Linked DNA regions of Saccharomyces cerevisiae S288C. The gene in region 4 interacts genetically with the main gene of each other region. Each region holds a gene or a part of one and is shown on either strand. Other genes may lie near its edges.

What was found.
Region 1: mutations in TEF4 (region 4) and YIR016W together harm fitness more than expected from each alone (negative genetic interaction), as found in Saccharomyces cerevisiae (2 studies listed by BioGRID).
Region 2: mutations in TEF4 (region 4) and HXK1 together harm fitness more than expected from each alone (negative genetic interaction), as found in Saccharomyces cerevisiae (2 studies listed by BioGRID).
Region 3: mutations in TEF4 (region 4) and PRM7 together harm fitness more than expected from each alone (negative genetic interaction), as found in Saccharomyces cerevisiae (2 studies listed by BioGRID).

Annotation. Positions count from the first base shown.
Region 1 is NC_001141.2:380,698-385,414, reverse strand, and holds YIR016W (uncharacterized protein), read right to left. Parts: upstream 2,788-4,717; coding exon 1,990-2,787; downstream 1-1,989. Other genes in the region: YAP5 (Yap5p), read right to left, coding at 69-806; MET28 (Met28p), read left to right, coding at 1,296-1,859; ribonuclease P protein subunit RPR2, read right to left, coding at 3,033-3,467; VLD1 (Vld1p), read right to left, coding at 3,601-4,329.
Region 2 is NC_001138.5:253,092-258,236, forward strand, and holds HXK1 (hexokinase 1), read right to left. Parts: upstream 1,959-5,145; coding exon 501-1,958; downstream 1-500. Other genes in the region: proteasome regulatory particle lid subunit RPN12, read left to right, coding at 1-238. UniProt on the Saccharomyces cerevisiae protein: Catalyzes the phosphorylation of hexose, such as D-glucose and D-fructose, to hexose 6-phosphate (D-glucose 6-phosphate and D-fructose 6-phosphate, respectively).
Region 3 is NC_001136.10:380,484-386,284, forward strand, and holds PRM7 (pheromone-regulated protein PRM7), read right to left. Parts: upstream 3,599-5,801; coding exon 1,502-3,598; downstream 1-1,501. Other genes in the region: peptide alpha-N-acetyltransferase complex A subunit NAT1, read right to left, coding at 1-955; BSC1 (Bsc1p), read right to left, coding at 4,118-5,104.
Region 4 is NC_001143.9:280,394-284,973, reverse strand, and holds TEF4 (translation elongation factor EF1B gamma), read right to left. Parts: upstream 2,084-4,580; coding exon 1,879-2,083; intron 1,790-1,878; exon of another isoform or gene 1,695-1,789; intron 1,553-1,694; coding exon 519-1,552; downstream 1-518. Other genes in the region: ribosome biosynthesis protein RRP14, read left to right, coding at 2,645-3,949; HOT13 (Hot13p), read right to left, coding at 4,115-4,465. UniProt on the Saccharomyces cerevisiae protein: Subunit of the eukaryotic elongation factor 1 complex (eEF1). Probably plays a role in anchoring the complex to other cellular components.

The DNA.
Region 1 (4,717 bases), on a different chromosome or scaffold from region 4:
TTCTTTTGACGTTACAAAAGTTGAGCTGTTCAATGACGTATTTATAAGTATTAAGAAGTTCTCTCTCTTCAGTGGATGATGGACCGGATGTCGATACATGATTTGTCGATATTAGTACAATTACTACAGAGCCCATTGGGGTTATCTTTATTATTGCACTCTGCATGTGGCATCGACATATCCTTCTGTTCTGTGGCCACACCGTCGTCACTTTTACGGTGATCTGTTTCCAGTTCTTTACAAACGCAAGTAGTGTTGTCGTTACAAAAGCCGCATTTGACAGAGCTAGGCAGTTCTGTCGAGTGCTGGTGGCGCTTGATAGCGGTATTGTACTTAATAGGTATCGCCTTCATTGGTTTGAAATTCTCGATCAAATTCTGCAGGATAGGGTCCTGAGCAGGCACAGAGGCTTGTTTCAGAGTAAGGGTCTCCAATTTCTGTTTAAGGGCATGATTTTCCGATTCTTTCGCTTGAAGTTCATTTTGGAGGCGGTTTAGTTTCGTTTCGTAGTTTTTAACGACCTTACTCAGTGACTCTATGGTTTCCTCCAGCACTTGCAACTTGTTGTTTTTGCGTTCTCTGTAGGCCCTTTGGGCGTCTCTATTCTGCCGTTTTTTCTTCTGTAGCTCCTCATCATTTTCTTCAGTTTCGTAATCTTCGTGAAGTCGATGAACTCTTTTCCTCCGCTGAGCTGCTCTATGGGGCAACCTTGGAGGCAGTTTCCAATTTTTGGACACGTGGATCTTGGACAAAAGAGCGAGGTGGCTTTCCTCAGACTCCTTAGGTTTTATCAGAGGTAGAGCCATGACTGTGATAATATGCTAGTTACACTGTTTATGTTGTGTGAACTTGTTGTAATATGGTTAACTTCACTTTCAGTGATTGATATGATAGCGACATCACTGCCGTGCAAAAAGACCATTCCATTACTGCACCTTTTTGTCCTTTTCCGTGGAATAAAAGTTCACTCGTCAGTTCCATGCATTCTGGAAAAAAATGATCTGAAAGATGCCACAGTTGTGGGGCCCGCCCGGCCCAATAGGTAAACTAAAATACAATAGAAGGGGTACTGAGTGCACGTGACTTATTTTTTTTTTTTGGTTTTAGGTTTCGCTTTTTTCACCTTTTTCTACTTTCTAACACCACAGTTTTGGGCGGGAAGCGGAAACGCCATAGTTGTAGGTCACTGGCGTGAGTCAAGGCCGGGCAGCCAATGACTAAGAACACGAGGTAACTTGAATTTAACTATTTATAACCAGTGGTAGTTACGAAGACAAATTGTTTTGTTCGTCAATATGAGTGCGAAACAAGGGTGGGAAAAGAAATCAACAAACATTGACATTGCAAGCAGGAAGGGTATGAACGTGAACAATCTTTCGGAACATCTACAGAACCTGATATCAAGCGATTCAGAGCTGGGCTCGCGCTTGCTATCATTGCTGCTGGTTAGCAGTGGCAACGCGGAGGAGCTCATTAGCATGATAAATAATGGCCAGGATGTCTCGCAGTTTAAGAAGCTCCGCGAGCCGAGAAAGGGGAAGGTTGCCGCAACAACAGCAGTTGTTGTAAAAGAAGAGGAAGCTCCCGTGAGCACTTCTAACGAACTGGATAAGATTAAGCAAGAGCGGAGAAGAAAGAACACAGAGGCGTCGCAGCGGTTCCGCATTCGCAAGAAACAAAAGAATTTTGAGAACATGAATAAGCTGCAGAACTTAAACACGCAAATCAACAAACTTCGCGATCGTATAGAGCAATTGAACAAGGAAAATGAGTTTTGGAAAGCAAAGCTCAATGACATTAACGAGATTAAGTCTTTGAAATTGTTGAATGACATTAAGAGACGGAACATGGGCAGGTAGCCCGCGAAACGTGCGGGCCTGATGTCTTGTTTTTCCTCTCCAACTTCGATTTTTCGATTTTTCCGTTTCTTTACCTAGCATATATATACACACATCTATCTACATATAAATATATATATATGTATATTTATTATTTATAGCATTGCGCGTGAGACAAAAGCGAGATCTTTTCGTCCCACTCCGCATTGATCAAGGACCGTTTATATTCCACAGACTCTATCTCGCTGGGAGAGCACCATCCTATAGTACGAAAGTTTGTAATAACTCGAGCGTACTGAGCGTCTTCCAGTTGTTGTTGGCGGCGTAAAGACTGCGCGGCTGCAGATGTGACGATAAATCTCTCGGAATCTGGGCGGCTAGCGGGACATACTGAATGCGTATGTTTGTCTCTGGGCATACTGTTCCTTCGAAAGAAAATACTCGAGGCTTTGGCAAGAAAACTGAGTTTTTCTTGTTCTGCCGGAACGCTAAGGCTTCCAGTTATGTCTTCGCGGCCAGATTTTCCTTGGTGTAAGATTGCAGATATTGCGCTCACAGAACTACGGTGCCGCCGACTTTGAACGCGCGGGCTGGACGATGATGACGATGACATATCTAGAGCCTTGGATAGGTCTCGCGACATGGAACTGTCGTCGTCGTCTTCATCATCGTCGTCGTCGTCGTTCCTTGAGGCGTCTTCGACTAATGACGGAGCATGGATGGCGCCTGCGCCATCTCGCGATAGTGTCATGTACTTGTGAAAAGCCGCCGAATCGTCATCCACATCATCATGTGGACCGAGCAACGAGGGCAGCAGACCATCTATAGAACTTCCTCGCGAACACGGTCCTGGCTCTACACCTGGTCCTTGTTCATCATGAGTCAAAGTTTCCGTAGCAGTCACATCAACTGGTAGTCCGACGCCTAGCAAACACCTCGTGCCACTCATTACCGACCACAACACCTCCTTGCGGTGTTTATCCGCTATGCTGGCAAGACGGAATCCTACATTACCTTCTTCAAACGGGCGTCTCGTTTTTTTCCCTGTGTTTTATGTCGTAGTTTTCCCTCAAAATACAGGCACGTACCCCATGTATAGGGGCAAGGGGGTGGGGGGTCGGCTCTTAAAGAAAATCTGGAAACTCCGCATTTTTGTCCTGCTCAAAACATTGGTCCAAAACCCTACCAATAACCCTAAGAATTTAGTAGATTACCCTCCCGCTCCGAGTAGGTCCTGTAATTAGGATCGGCGCCAATATTAAAACGTTTAACGGTACCGCACCCACACATTACCGAAAGCGCTCCGTCGGATGTGATTTCCAGTTTTTTTGGGGTCCATAACAACCGATGGCATTTTTTACAAATTGTTCTCTTTATCGTAGGAAGCAGTGATGTCTTGGTTTTCTTACTAATTAGGTCCATTGATTTGATATAATTGCGTGCCAAAGGCGTATGTGCGTCTGTTCTTGCTTTCTGTCTTGCTCTTGTTTGGTAAGCGGATATTTGGTAGAGGTAGTTTAATCTATGGAAATGGTCCTGGTTCGCAATCGTCCTTGGTGGCGGTACTAGCAGAGTACCATTTTCGTCGATCTCAGGTTTCATCTTTCCTCCGTGTGCTTTCTTGCCCATCTTTTTGCTTGTCTTTTCTCTGTCGGCGATGTGGGAAGGACAGTAGAAGAACCACGTATTGTTTTATTTTCTGTTCATCTTTTTTTTCCGTTCTTTTCATTTTGGTAATTTTTTTTCTTTTCCTTTCTTGAATTTATTCGGCGATATTCAGTAGAGGAGTGATCTCTGTAGCGTCATCCCCGTCTGCCTGTTGAGGAATCGACTTGTCATGATTCTTGAGTACTATGAGTTCCGGTCCGGTTGCATCCATGTGCCAGGTATTAAGTTTGAGAATGTTGAGTGCGCCCTCTTCTTCTGCATTCAACTCCTTGACAATAAGTTTCACGTTCTGAAGACTCGAGCTCAGTGAGCCGTTTATTATTACAATCTGGCAGAAAAGTAATAAAATATCGAGTAGTACCAGAAGTAGCTTGCTAGGAAACGCTGTGGGTACCGGACAAGTAAATTCCCTTATCAAAAGCATTATCACAAATCCGTACGGTTTGGAACATATGTCTCTCGATACGTCTAGCCTAATGTGGTATACTATACAGTACGCTGTTTCTAGAAGTATTAGGCCTTGGTAATATCGTATGGCTTTGTTTATTATCATTCTTACAATAGGTGTTTCTAACCCTCTGATGGCAAGACTTTCATCATCTTCCTGATCATTGTCGCGGCCCACCTCTAAATAGTTCTTCTTCAGGTACCTGAGTGTCAATTCCTGAATGAAATCACAGAGCGATGAAATTATCCACCCCAGGAGGATCAAGAATAATGATCCATCTTTGATAAACCTCAAGTACAGGCAGCAATAAACGAATTTCTGCAAATTCGCTATCACTGACCTTTGTCGTCCATTGTCATCTTCCAAATGCAACATTTCCTTCCGATGCCCTGCTCCTTTCCCTTTCTGTATTAGCTTGTCATCTAAGCCTTCGTCATTGAAGTATCCCTTCCCTTTCTTTCCCTGGAGAAAAGCCATATGAGAAGTTTATATTACCCGGTTTAAAGTTTGTTTTTTTTTTTTTTTCTACCACTAGAATGCTCTCTATAGTACCCATGATGCATTAGTTGAACACTAGCAGGTCAGGTTTTGTACCCTCCCGAATTATGGCTATCTCCTCAATTGCGATGACATTGTCAATATGAAACTAAGTTGTCAATTATCCTAGTTTGCGGCCACCTATGCCCCTTGTTGAAAATGGTACGCCTTTCAGAGATACTTGAATCTTAGGCACTTTTGGCGTAAGATTCTTGACGTTTTCTTT
Region 2 (5,145 bases), on a different chromosome or scaffold from region 4:
CTACGACTTTCTCCCTCTCTCCAACATAAAGGCTTTGCTCTTTTTCAACAACGAAAAAGAAACTGAAAAATTTGCACTAGAGAGAAACTGGCCTATTGTCAACTCGAAAGTTTACTTCAATAACCAATCAAAGGAGAAAGCTGATTACGAAGATGAAATGATGCATGAAGAAGACCAAAAGACAAACATTATCGAAAAAGCAATGGATTATGCCATAAGTATTGAAAATATTGTGTAATATTTGTATATATAATATGTGCACAAAATTACTACAAAATAAACAACTTTTTCTCTCCCGGAGAACAAAGTAAGTGGAAAAAATTATACTAATAACAATCTAAAAATGTTTATTAGCTAGGATTATACACATAAATATATATATATGTGTGTGTCTATATTTACATATACTAGACCGCAAAAAAAACATAAGGGCATCACTCATAAGAATAATAATATTAAGGGAGGGAAAAACACATTTATATTTCATTACATTTTTTTCATTAAGCGCCAATGATACCAAGAGACTTACCTTCGGCAATTCTTTTTTCGGACAATGCAGCAATAACAGCAGCACCTGCACCTGAACCATCCTCAGCTGGAACAATCGTAATTGGATCTTTGCTTGCGTCACCAGTCCATCCATAGATATCTCTCAAACCCTTAGCGGCGGCTTCCTTGAAACCTGGGTATTTGTTATAGACAGAACCGTCAGCGGCAATGTGACCAGTCTTGTAACCTCTCTTTTGGCAAATAGCGGCAATACCACAAACAGCTAATCTAGCAGCTCTGGTACCGATCAATTCACAAAGTCTTCTAATCAACTTACGTTCTGGCAGAGTGGTCTTGACACCAAAGTCCTTTTGGAAGATGTCATCAGTATCTTCCAAGTTTTCAAATGGATCATCCTCGATTCTTGCTGGGTAGGAGGTATCCATGATGTATGGTTGTTTCAACTTGCTTAGATCTTGATCCTTCAACATCAAGCCCTTCTCGTTTAATTCAAGTAACACTAGACGCAACAATTCACCCAAGTAGTAACCGGAGGTCATCTTTTCAAAAGCTTGTTGACCAGGTCTTGGAGATTGTTCGTCGACAGCAACATCGTACTTGGTTCTTGGCAAGACCAAATGTTCATTATCGAAGGAACCATATTCACAATTGATAGCCATTGGAGAGTTACTTGGAATATCGTCTGCTAATTTGCCCTCCAACTTTTCGATATCGGAAACAACATCATAGAAAGCACCGTTGACACCAGTACCGAAAATCACACCCATCTTAGTCTCTGGGTCAGTGTAGTATGAGGCAATTAAAGTACCAACAGTATCATTAATCAATGCTACAATTTCAATAGGCAACTCTCTCTTGGAAATTTCGTTTTGTAGCAATGGGACGACATCGTGGCCTTCGACATTTGGAATATCGAAACCCTTGGTCCATCTTTGCAAAATACCTTCGTTAATCTTGTTTTGGGAAGCTGGGTACGAGAAGGTGAAACCTAATGGTAAGGTGTCCTTGGTGTTTAGCAATTCTTGCTCGACCATAAAGTCCTTCAAAGAGTCGGCAATAAAGGACCATAACTCCTCTTGGTGCTTAGTGGTTCTCATGTCATGTGGTAGTTTATACTTGGATTGAGTGGTGTCAAAGGTATGGTTACCGCTCAACTTGACCAACACGACTCTTAAGTTAGTACCACCCAAATCAATGGCCAAATAGTTACCAGATTCTTTACCTGTTGGGAATTCCATGACCCAACCGGGAATCATTGGAATGTTACCTCCCTTCTTTGTCAAACCTTTATTCAATTCGTCGATAAAGTGCTTAACAACCTTTCTCAAGGTCTCGCTGTCAACTGTAAACATATCTTCCAACTGATGAATTTCATCCATCAATTCCTTGGGCACATCAGCCATGGAACCCTTTCTAGCCTGTGGTTTCTTTGGACCTAAATGAACCATCTTATTTTTTCAGTATTCTAATTGAGTTGTTTGGGTGAGTTTGATTAAAAGAAAAGAATTCTAATTGAGTATTGCAAGCCACAATTGTTTCTTATTGCTCTTCTGCTATATATTGCGCTAAGAGAAAGAGAAGAATACAAGATGAAGGAACGGTAGAATATTCCCAAGGAAGTGAAACCGATTGCTTATATACGAAATATTCCTCTTTAAAGAAAAGGAGGAAACAGAAGCAGTTGAGAACAATCTTTGTTGCGTTCACTTGTTACTATTCCTCTCAACGGTCCTAAGGTACCAAAATCCGGGGGGAGAAAGAAACTTTTTCTTTTCATCAACCCCTTAAAAAAAAATGCATAGTTCTTAGGTCTTCCATTTTTTCTTTTGTTGGTTTTTGCAACCAGAGTATTTTTCCTGGTTGCTCCAGTAAGGTATTTCGCTATCTTCCAACAAACGGGGCACACGTGCGGGAGTTTCAAAGGGGCAGAATAGTGGGGTTCAGGGGCATAAGAAGCTCACACAATGCGGAAAAACAAAAGGGGACTGCCATTCTTCCTGAAACCCACGCGTCACTGCTATACTGAGATCTGGCCAGGGGCAACCAGTATACTTAGTGGATAAACGACAGGAACACGTACTCCTTAAAAGCGTCTAAATCTTCATTTTTCCGGTTTATTTCCAACCGGGAAATAAATTATTCCTAATAAAATTTCCGGGGTTTGCAGGATGCGGGGTAAAAGTAAAAAAATGAAAAAGATGTAAAAAGAAAAGTTCGAGGTAAGACCAGGTGCAAGGAGAATACTGGGCGCCAATGCTTTTACTGCAGCGAAGAAAAATTCTAACCGTCTGTTTCGGTTGCTAATTTTTGTCTTACTTTCGATGGTTAGGCTTCGTGGGGTAAAAGTCGAGCTTGTTTTCTGAAGCGGAAATTACAGCAGTTTGCTAGGTGAGTTTTAACTTTCCTAGTTGCATCCCATGGTCTAGATAATCACCCCACCCCACGCCATTCTTTTTTTGCAACACGGGCTTTGTTCCTGAAACAACTGGCATGGAAGATATTCCGGGGTTGTTTAACAATAAACGTGTAGAGTACAGGTAGAATATAGGCGAAGCCGCGGTGAGCACGGAATCGCGCATGGAAGAAAACACACCAGGTAAGCCTTTGGAACGCCATGTGTAAGGTGCAATGCACATGAGTGATTGTTAAAAACAGAAAAGTAAAAATTCCGATCTTGTCTGGAGGATCAATCGTCCTCTCAGTGCGTTTTCTTGGCGAGACAATTCAATTCGCTTTATGCTCTTTTTTTTTGTGAATTTAGCCAATTCCGGAAAAAACATAAAAAAATGGTTATGCATTCTTTATTTTGAAGAATGAACTAGATATACAGTAATATACTAAATTGTCAGCTCTCGGCATAATTCAATGGCCGGAAAGTAGTACTATTAAAAAGAAGTGCGCTCAAAGAATAACTCCGGGAATAGGTGATGTAGCTTTTGGTGCTGGAAGCGAACCGCTTTCATGTGTTTTGGTCCCGGCTGTAGTGTTCTGCGGAGTTGCACTGGTGCTGTTGGTAGAGATTACGATTTTGGTAAATCCTGGTGTGACGGCTACATCAGTACCTCTAGTTAGACCAAACACTAATTCAATGCCAAAACTTAGACGCCCGATGATATTCCTTGTATATATATTATTATCCGCTATGGGCACAGAAGTATGTTTAACAGTAGCAGAAGCGACTTATGTATGGATGTCCAACAACGAAGATGCCACAAACGTCTTCGTAGTTTTATCCACGGCGCCAGGTCTGGAGAATGGACACCAGGGTACTAAAATCATTAATTGCTCTTCCACCATCCTAACGTTGTTGACATTTAGTGTAGATACTTGGTGAAATATGTGCTTGTGAAAGCGATTGTCCATTCTTTATATATAGTCATGAAAGTAGTTAAAGTGAAGAATATATTAGAAGCTTTGGGTTCAAAAGAGGACGGTGAAGTGGCTCGCTTTGTTAATATATTGATTTATCCGAAACCCGGGAAGCACTCTAGAACTATGCCTTAGCATTTTAGTGGTCGAACTAGCCAGTTTTTCGATTGTTGGATGTGTTGTAATGACGGTATTATTTTTGCTCAATGAGTTAAAAGGCGAAAGCGTCAAATTGTAGGTCAGAATATGACTGACAGAATCAAACTGTCTGACAATTGCACAGGAGGATTGGCCGGAGTAAAATCGTTTAAGGTAGTATAAGCAGGTTGAGCAGACAATTGGCTAGAGCTAGCCATTGAGCCTAAAGAATTGCGAACAAGTCGGATAAGACAAAGGGAACTAATGTACAAGATCTTGTATCCTGAGAAGAGGAAATAAGTACTCAAGAATGGGCCAGAAATAATGTTAGAGTTTATAGGGGTGACAGCCCTTGAGCTAATAAATACTACAATAACAGTGTCCGTTTGAATGCTGGTCGGTGAATCAATCAAAGATTTGGTTGCAATGATATGTGCAATTTTGCTGATGGAGCTTGCTAAAGTTGTGATATTAGTCGAGATCCAATTAGAACGGATTAGGCGGGAATCGCTTGAGGGATCGCCAAAAATACTTGTGATTTGTGTAAGTTGGTTGTAATGCAAACCTGCTATCTTTACTTTCGAACAAAATAGATGAATCAGCGGCTAAGTATTCTGTGGCTAATGTGCTAGATACATGTTGAGTACTGCTATTTGTGCGCAACCGTTCTAACAATGCTGAGAGATGATGAATTGAATATATCAGAAGTTTTACTAGCTACAGTAGTTGAGGTACCAATAGTGGGGGTATGCGAAAATTTACTAAAAGCACTGACTGGAGTTGTGGTACTAGTGAATACCTGGTCCAAATAGGTTATGAAGGAATCATTTGAGAATTGGCTAGAAGCAACTAAAACGCCCGTGGATTGAGGTTCAGATTTGCTACTGTCGCTTTCGAAGAAGCTAGATGAACCACGGGTAAAGTATTCTGCATCTAATGTGTTCAATAAATATTGAGTGACGTTATCGTAATGTTACAGTACTAACACCGCTAGAAAATGCTGGTGTGAATGTGAATGACGATAGACGGACTGATGCACTTTTCCATTGTACGATAACATTACTTACAAGATTGGGAGAAGCATGATTGAAAATTTGACTGGAAGAACCACTTATATTAGGAGTGGCG
Region 3 (5,801 bases), on a different chromosome or scaffold from region 4:
GGAAAGTTAATGGAATAAATTTGGGTGGTTCGCATCTTGGATAAAATTGTTCAAGTTTTCCATACAAAGCCTTCTTCAATTTATTGTCACCTTGGATTCCCAAGGATACTTCCAGTAATTTGTAGTACTTAAAATTATCTGGATTTCTCTTGATCAGAGTTCTATAAACAATGGACGCGTCTTTCAATTGACCCAATTTCATGTAAATAGTTGCTTTTCTCTCTAATAAACCAAATTTATCAAAGACGCATGGCTCGATATCATTCAAATGTTTCAATACATTTTGTAACTTGTCTTGGTTATCACTGGCAGCTTTATACATAATGTCGTTTTTGTACATTAAACACTCGCTGTGTTCATATTTCTCGGAATCAGATATTTTTCCCTCAGCGAGTTTTTCAAACTGAGATAAAGTGTTAATAGCTTGTTGCCTCTCACCGTTCACATCTTGTGCCACAGCCAATGATGTCCAGTTGGCACGGTAACCAAGGAATGCTTCCCAATATTTTTTCCTGGACACTAAAGCATTTTTGAAATCGCCAATTTGTGATTGCAAAGTTGCTAAGTCTCTATATATTTGCTTGTTAGTGGACCCATTGTTCAAAGCTGCCGTGAACCATTTAATAGATTCTTTGTACTCTTTGGTGTTTCTCATGTAGATACCTAATACATGACAGCAGATTGGTGATGCTGAAGCGCCTTCAATTTTTCTGATGGCATTAGCCACGTAGGAAGCAGCGTCATCTTTCTCACCTACAGAATATAAATCAAGACCCTTTAAAGCCAAGGAATCAACGTGACTACCGTCTTTTTTCAAAATTGCGTCTAGCAGCTTGAGAGATTTTTTGTATTGCTTCCCTTCGTATAGTTTCAATGCCTCGAGGAACTGGTCATTTTCTTTTTTCAAAGCTATTTTAGCTGCTGGCTTGGGCTTAGTACTTCTTTTCCTAGACATACTTCGTTAGGGTCAATCGCCTTCCTCAATGGTATTTGTCTTAAACAAGGAATCTGAACATCACTTTTTAAAAAGGTTTGACTTTTGAGTGTAGAAACTTTTTCATTTTCGCTCTTTCCTCTTTACTCTGTATTATGTTCTGTTTCGACGCGGAGCAGGGTAAAAAGTGCATACGCAACCCAGCGACCTCATTAGCAAGGTCATGCAATTTGGTGGCACATTTCAGGCCTATCATGTCTCCAGTTGTACAATAATGAAAATTTAGCAGTATTCCCCCTTTAAAAGATTAAATAGCGATTATATAATCAACTCAAAGAGTTTCCTTAGCAGTCCTCTCTCAATTTTGAATTGTCGAATGTCATGGCGTTCTCGAAGCACTTTGCATACTTCAAGGAGTGGACAGAAAGAGTCTGATAATAATAATTTTTTATTGAATCCGAAGATATTCTATAATCAAATTTAACTATTATTCTATGTAAAATCTATAATTGGTTTATATGGTATACGAACGAGAATGGCGTAGGGACATGAAAGATGGTAGAATGACTAAATGAAAGCTAGAGGAAGAGCGGCAGCGAGCCACACCAATTTTCCTACTGCTTCAATGTTTGCGCTGCCTTCCATGATTAATGAAATGCTGGCAGATGATGTAATGGCTCCTGTTGATACAGCAGCAATGGAATGCTTTGATGTGATAAATGCGTTAGTAGTGGTGGTCGTGAAGGAATTTGTATAATGAATGGCACTGGATTGACTAGAATAATCTTTAGTTGAGGTACCAGAAACACTTTCTAGAGAGGCAGCTGCAGAAATATTGTCCTCAATACTGTGATTCATTACGGAAGCAGTTGATTGAACGTTACTTATAGTAGACGTTGATGCAGGAGAAGTCATAAATGCAGATTGTTTGGTGATGGTAGTGTCTTTGGGACCCGAGTAATTTGGGTTCCCAACCTCAGACTGAATGTTAATGTTTGAAGTTACTAGTGTTGTATGGCGAGTCGAGTCAGTAACTCTACTGACAATATCGGTGACGCTTGCGTGAGCTGATGCATAAGTTCTATCTAATGTGATTGGATGAGCTGAGGAAGATGAGCCGACTAAACCATTTTCACTGGCTAGAGTCGTTGGGTCTGCTGAAGTTATGCTAGGATATGAAGATTTAGTTGATTGGAATGCGTCAACTACAGAAACAGAACTTTGGGTCTTCGAATCATTGCTGCTAACTGGCATATTAGGCTTGATTATACTTGTTGCGCTTGACCTACTCGAGGAAGCCGAATCAACTGGGGTTAAAGTTACAATCGAAGAACTTGAAGTGGCCGAAATTCCTTGCTGTCTAGAAAGGCTTAGACTTTCCGACGCAATTGGAATGCCCGTGGAAGTTGATCCGGTCGAAGCTGTTGGATATACTGGGCTATTCGAGACAGCGAAAGTGCTTGGGTCTACTTGAGATCTTTGAATGGATGAGACGCTCAAATCAGCTGAACCAGTTGAGGAAACCATATCAGTTAGACTAGATGATACTGTTTGGGTATCTTGGCTGGTTGAAGTGGTTGAAACCCTTAGAATGATTGTGTCAGAGAAAGTAGCTAGATCTGTTGAAGTAGTTGGACCACTTGGTCTGGTTGAATAAACTGAGGTTGAACTGACAATAAAACTGGTTGGTTCAGATGAAGTTGAACTAACTACAGAACTAGCTGGATCAATTGAGGCGCTACTGATGATAGTAGTTGCACCGCTTGAACTAACGATGGAGCTAACTGGATCAATTGAAGTAGTTTGAGCCGCTAAAGTAGCTGAACCGTTTGAATTAGCAGAAATAGTCACAGTGCTTGAGCTAGTTGGGTAAGATGAAGTTAAACTGACAACAGAACTAGCCGGATCAACTGGAGCGGAACTGACTACAGAACTAGTTGGATCAACTGAAGTAGTTTGAACGGTCGAGGTAGTTGAGTCAGCTGAAGTAGTTGGGTCTGCTGAAGTTGAACTGATAACAGAAGTGGTTGGGTCAACTGAAGTAGCAACGTCACTTGAGCTAGTTTGATCAACTGAGGTTGAAATGACTACAGAAGTAGTTGGGTCAACTAAAGTAGTCACAGCGCTTGAACTAGTTGGATCTGCTGAAGTAGCCACGTCACTTGAGCTAGTTGGATCTGTTGATGTGGTTACCTCGTCAGAGCTTCTTGTACGATACATACCAGCAACACTTGATGAGGCATGTGGACCAACTGTTGTAGTAGACTCAATTAAAGATGTAGAGTCCGTGGAAGTGGAAATCACGACAGAGATATTTAGACTTGTTGAAGTAGTAATATCGTTTGAACTGACGAGAGAAGTAGTTGGTTCAATTGAAGTGGTTTGAACGGTTGAAGTAATCACATCGCTCGAGCTAGTTGGGTCAATTGAAGTGGAACTAACTGCAAAAGTAGTGGAATTGGCCAAAGTGGAATTGCCGATGTTGTTACTTGGACCAGCTGAAGTGGTTTGAACGGTCGAGGTAGTTGAGTCAGCTGAAGTAGTTGGGTCTGCTGAAGTTGAACTGATAACAGAAGTAGTTGGGTCAACTGAAGTAGCAACGTCACTTGAGCTAGTTAGATCTGTTGATGTGGTTACCTCGTCAGAGCTTCTTGTACGATACATAGCCGCTAAACTTGATGAGGCGTGTGGATCATCCGATGTAGTATACTCAATTGAAGATGTAGAGTCTGTGGAAGTAGAAATGGTAACAGAGCTACTTGGATCAGCTGGGCTAGTTTGAACGGCCGAAGTAGTTGAATCAGCTGGAGTAGTTGGGTTAATTGAAGTAGTCACAGCATTTGAACTAGTTGGGTCTGCTGAACTTGAACTGATAACAGAGCTACTTAGATCAGCTGAACTTGAACTGACTACGGAAGTAGTTGGATCAGCTGAAGTAGTTTGAACGGTCGAGGTAGTTGGGTCAGCTGAAGTAGTTGGGTCAACTGAAGTAGTTGGATCAACTGAAGTAGAACTGACTATAGAACTAGTTGGGTCAACTGAAGTAGTTGGATCAACAGAAGTAGTTTGAACGGTCGAGGTAGTTGGATCAGCTGAAGTATTTGGGTCAACTGAAGTAGTTGGGTCAACTGAAGTAGTCACAGCGCTTGAACTAGTTGGGTCTTCTGAACTTGAACTTACTACTTAAGTGGTTGGATCAACAGAAGTAGTTTGAATGGTTGAACTGGTTACATCGCTTGAACTACTAGAGTCACTTGAAGTGAAACTGCTGAAAGGACTAGTTGAAGCTGCTAATGTGGTGACATCAGTAGATGTTCTTGAACGATAAATATCGGCTACGCTTGATGAAGTATGTGAGTCAACGGAAGTAGTAAAATCAATGGATGTAGTGGAAGAGCTTTTCACAGTAGATGACGTAGTAGTGGAAGTTTTCGTAGAGGATGAAGTAGTAGAGGATGAAGTAGTAGAGGATGAAGTAGTAGAGGATGAAGTAGTAGAGGATGAAGTAGTAGAGGATGAAGTAGTAGAGGATGAAGTAGTAGAGGATGAAGTAGTAGAGGATGAAGTAGTAGAGGATGAAGTAGTAGAGGATGAAGTAGTAGAGGATGAAGTAGTAGTGGATGAAGTAGTAGTGGATGAAGTAGTAGTGGATGAAGTAGTAATGGATGAAGTAGTAATGGATGAAGACGAGGCTTTTGTACAAGTGCCATCATTGTTTCCCTTGCACTGGTAGGTCCAATAAAATCCAGGGAAATCCGTTTGTGAGTGGCCTTGATTGTCATAATTGTTACAACCTGTCGATAAATCGAAGGTGGTTGTCCCCCATTGCCAAGTTTGCCAGTACTGAGCAGCATCACCTTGTAGATATTCGAACTGGATTTGGAAATTTGGCATCCAAACTGTGCAACCGTCAGAAGAAGGGTAAGCATAAACCTGAAAAGTGGATGTAAAATCTGTTGGATCACTGATTAGGTATGTCTTCTCATTTTTGCCGTAAAGTTGTACGGTGCTTGAGGGACCGTTGACACCAATAATCTTTAAAGACCATAAATATTTCAAAGGGATATCTTTTACGGCTTTGACATGAATAGTAATCTGGTATGTGTTATCCTTGACCCATGATACGGAAGTAACATCCATATCATAATGTAGTATATTCTGTTGGCTCATGTGCCAGTTGAAATCCAAATTTGGACAACCATTGATAGCAACGCTTTCGTCTCTTTTGCTTAGATCAAATGAAGGGCTCACCTTGTCATCAATTCTATCAGCAGTCGCTGAATTTGTGAGCAAGGCCGCAAATAGGAGGCAAAATGATATTAGTAGTTTTCTTATGAATGATGTGGATACCTATTTTACACTTTTGCAACAAGGGGAGGAAAATTGCCAAGACCATCATGACATTGGAGGAAGTGATTTGCTTCTCTTAAATATAAAATAATTAAACGATCATGGAGATGCAGCGAACTAATGTGAAAAATTTTTCTTTCCAGTAGTATCGGTTATTCTGTAAGCATAGAATCGGGTATTAGTGGCTTGTTCCGAGCTTTTTTTCTTTGCCAATAAGAAAACAAGTAAAATGCAACGTGCAAATGCTGATCTGATCTCGCCTGGGCCAGTTTTATCGTCATGTGCGCGTGTAGGCACGAAAAAAAAGAAAAGACCGCTACCTCTCCTTCTAAAATGACAGGAGGAGAATATAAGGTTTGGCAGCCCCTTGAAAGAGCCGCAGGAACCAAAAAAAAAAGAAGGAAAGTTTATTTTTTTCTTTTTCCAAAAGACTTTTTAAGATGTTTGTCAGCAAGATAATACAGGACCTACACGACTATCAGTCACAGCCAGAGAAACGTTTGTCGTATGATGGCAA
Region 4 (4,580 bases):
CAACTGCAACTTCTATATACCTCCTTTGTTTGTGTTTCTAAAGCACTGTGACAAATCCTGCTTGAAAGCACATGATATCACCAGACGTGTTGCACTATCTTCAGTTCTATCCTAAATTGTTTTCCAGTCTTAAGATAAAATTCATTCCAGTTCGGGTAACATACACCGTTTATGACTGACGCTTCTCTTTACGGAAAATTGTTTTTTTCGCTATTGTTGCAAAAGTACAATGGAAAATGCCCCACTGAAACATGAAATAAGAAGAGAAGAATCAAGTTTATGCAAAATATTGTTAGAGTAACCGCAGCAGATTGTGATACTCAATTAGAGAGATTATTACAATATATATATATATAATGATTACATGGACGTTAATCGTTACATAGAATTAAACCACGCGTAAGTATGGGGTAATCATGAAGTAGACTTCAGGGTTTTTTTCTTTTTTCTTTTGAAAATTCGTTTTGTTTGACTCTTATGTATATTGGGAAGAAAATATGGAAGAAGAGTTATTGAGATTATTTCAAAACCTTACCGTCAACAATTTCCTTATCTTCGCCATTGACAACAACAGGCTTATCCCAAGCCCACATGTTGTTGACAAATTCTTTGTCTTCTTCCTTGGTTGGGTCCAACTTGGTGTATTCGTAAGATTCCCAGTCTGGAGCGACATCAAAGGCTGGAGCGAAATCTTGGCCTCTGACCATAACGGCACCAACAATACCATTATTGTTGTTTTCACCATAGACAACTAAACAACCGAACATGTACTTAGTAGAAGCGGACAATCTGTTGAAAAAACCACCGACCAAGTTGTTGGACATGAAAGTCAAGGTAAGTTCGTCGTTGTATTTGTAACCAACCTTCCAGATGGAGTATTCTTCAGGGTTGTAGTGTTCCCAGAACCATGGCAAAGCAACTGGTCTGGTGTCGTCGTTGGAGTACTTTCTCTTCCAGTCATCCAAGACAAATGTGGACTTTCCTAAAGCTTCCAATGGGTGCTTTGGCTTTTTAGCTGGAGCAGCATCATCTGCTGGCTTAGCTTCGTCCTTCTTCTTTTCAGCCTTTGACTTTTCGGCCTTTGGCTTTTCAGCCTTTTGCTTCTTTGGTGGAGTGTAGGTTAGAGCCTTTTCAGCCAATTTGACTTCAGCAAATGGAGTCTTCACGATTGGAGAAGCAGCAACAGTGTTGAACCATCTCATCAAATGAGGATGCTTAGCTCTCCATTCAGGGCCCAAAATAGTGGCCAAACCAAAAGCCCAAGAACCAGCGGCATGAAGGTCACCTAGAGAAATGTTTTCGGTAGCAACAAAGGTGTAGTCTCTCAATCTAGCATCGAAGACAGCAGCTAGGTTGTCGATTTTAACAAAACAAGCATCAACGTCTTTCTTGTTGTATGGAATCAAACCTTTGAAAGAAAGGAATGGACGAGCAATGTTGCTCATGACATCGGAATTAGCTAGAGATGCCCATCTAAGGATTTGAGACTTTTCGATAACGTCGGAACCTAATAAGCGAGCTCTTTCTTTTTCATCGGCAACTTGATTAGCCACTAAATATACATCATCTCGATGGTTATACAACCATTAATTGAAGAAATGTTAGTAAAACAATCCTTTATATTTTTTCCTGGATTAGGACACGCTTTGTACTTCCTTTTTGTTATTTTGACTTTCATTTTTCTTTAAGAAACATATCAGAAATACAAATATCAACATATGAGAGGTTACCTATTATTACCCATTCAGACAGGGATAACTGTTTGATAAAATTTTTTTTCATCATTATGTTTCGAAGAAAAATGACGTGCCAAATAAACGAACGGGAAACGCGCAAAACAATGTATGTGGAAGTGTTAAAATAAAATATGGAACATACAATAAAATTGGATAGCCAAAGCTTCAGTTAGCTTTAAGCCCTTTGGACCCAAAAATGCAGGGGCTTGCTTCAATGGGAACAAAGAAGCAAACTCGCTAGATTGTTCTAGATCAACGATCTTGACATCTAGTTTAAAGTAAGAAATCAAAGCTTCAGAAGCGTAGTTTCTTGGAGATCTATTAATGTATAAAGTACCTTGGGACATCTTGAATCTATCGAGGGCCAAAATCAAAGAATTGAGTTGGTATTAAGGATGGACACCAGTTTTGAACAAAATTAACGACGGAATGGATGAATTAAATATGAAAAAGAAAGTATTGCAAACTGTTGATGAAAAAAATTTTTCTTTCAATTTTGTCAGCAGCAGAGCGCATTACCCTGCCGGCCACATGCCGAATTAAATTAAATGAGGGCTGCTATTGCCAAATGTGATGGCTTGCCTACAGAGGTTAATTTCCCTTGTTTTGGGCTTCCTCTCTCAACACGATTGACACAAGCAATAGAGGCAAAGGTGTGTAATGAGTTCGTGTACCAATTAAAGTAAAGTAGAGTGGTTTAATTGGGATTACACGATTAAAAAGTTTCACCCAGACACCAAATTGAAAATTTTTTAAAATGAATTCTTTTTATTCTCATCTCCGGTAAAGAAAAGAGGAAAGTACAATAAAAGAGATGAGATGACCAAGAGATGAATAACAAGTGAGGACTGAGACGTTGTTGCAAGTGATAAAGAAAGTCCGGGAATTGAAAGATATAGGAGACTGAGATGAGTAATTCACTTGAGGAGCGCCTTCGTGCTAATTCAAGCGCCTTCGATGGTTTATTGGCTTTAATTCCTGCAAAATACTATTATGATGAAAAAAGTCAAGAGCAATGGAAGGCCAAGAAGAAAACCAAAGAACAGAGTAAAAATGATAAACTGAAAAAATTAGACCCGGAGCAACGTGATGATGAAACATCTAGTACATTAGAAGTAATGAAGAAGAAGGAGAAAGACGCAAAGCCGGTGGTCCTACCTGGTGAAAAATTCAAGCACATGAAAATGCAAAAGCAAAAGGAAGCAACATCAAAAGTGGAAGGAGACTCCGACCTGAACGTAGAAGTAAACGATCCTATGATAATAGCACCAGACGAAGATGAAGAAGAGGAAGAGGATATTAAGGTGATCTTTGATGATGAGGGAAATGAAATACCATTAGAATCTAAAAAAGATACTACAGAGCCCGATAGATCTGTCGAAAAGAAGTCTATTACAGAGGAAGAGAAACTACAAAGAAAGAAAAACTTGGAAGCACTACGTTCCAAGTTACAAGCGAAAATTTCAGATATGAAGAGTAAAAGGAAAGCACCCGGTTCTAGAGAGGCTATTCTTGCTCAAAGGAAACGCAAGGAAGAGTTGAAAAAAAGAAAGCGTCTAGAAAGTGAACAGGAACAGGATCAGGATGAAATTGCGTCTGATTCCGATATGGAAGACATCGATAGTGATTTAGAAAACAATTCGAAAAAAAGATTCAAAAAAGGCAAGAAGGACTCAGAAATTAACGCAGATGGTGTAATGTTTCAAAATATCATATTCGATGATGGTGCAAGGGCCACTTCAGATTTACAAAGGTTAAGAAAAGCTGGTAGAACGAAGGGTCCGGCTAAGAATGATGTAAAATCACACTTAAAGTTATTAGAAGCCAAGAAGAATAAGATGGAGGCGAAAGACGAACTAGAACAAATCAAGCAGAAGGAAAAGGAAAAATGGCAAAAGGCTATGTTACAAGCAGAAGGAATTAAGATTAGGGATGACGAAAAACTACTTCGCAAAGCTATAAAGAGAAAGGAAGCACAAAAGAGAAAGTCTGCGATTGAATGGAGCGAACGTAAGAGGGTTGTGGAAGACACGATATCTGAAAGACAAAAGAGAAGAGAAGAGAATCTGAGGATTAGGAAAGACAACAAGGGTAAAAAGAGAAATAAGCAAGAAAAGATGAAAAGAAAGTATGTCGGTAGTGCCGTACCAAAGAAAAGAGCCGGATTTGAGGGTAGATTAAAAACAGGTAAAAAGAAGGGAGGACCTAAATAATAATCACGATAATAATAACAACAATAATAGATATATATATATGTATGAACATATATATACAGATACATATATATATATATATATCTATATATATACCATCGCATTTTTTCCTTAACGAGAAGAGCACAGCAGAGCTTAAGATGGCATGCATTTATAGAACAACACTCAACACATAGCGGGGGGAGGGTTCTGGAAATACAAATGGTAGTGCAATTTACAGCCTGGATTAAAGGGGGATCTGCAATTGGGACAAATAAGGTTTGAATTGTAGTCGTAATACTCTGCAAACGTCATTTCATGACGGCAAACTCCGCAAATAATCAAGTGTTTATTTGCATCGTCAAGGAGATCATATTTTTCTAGCGGGTGAGAACTTAACTCTTGGTGGCATTCAAAGCACGCATAGTACTTATCACAACATTTAAACCTGATGGCAATTACATCCTTTGGAAGATGCCAGTGGACACATCGAGATTGGTCATCCACTGTCTTACCATAAATGGCAGTTTCGATCATCTATATTTGCAAATTGTAAGTGGTACGTATTTTTTTTTTTATATCATATATGTATATTTAAAGAAACTCGTAAACCGAAACGTTTATTCATCATTATCATCATCATCATCATTAT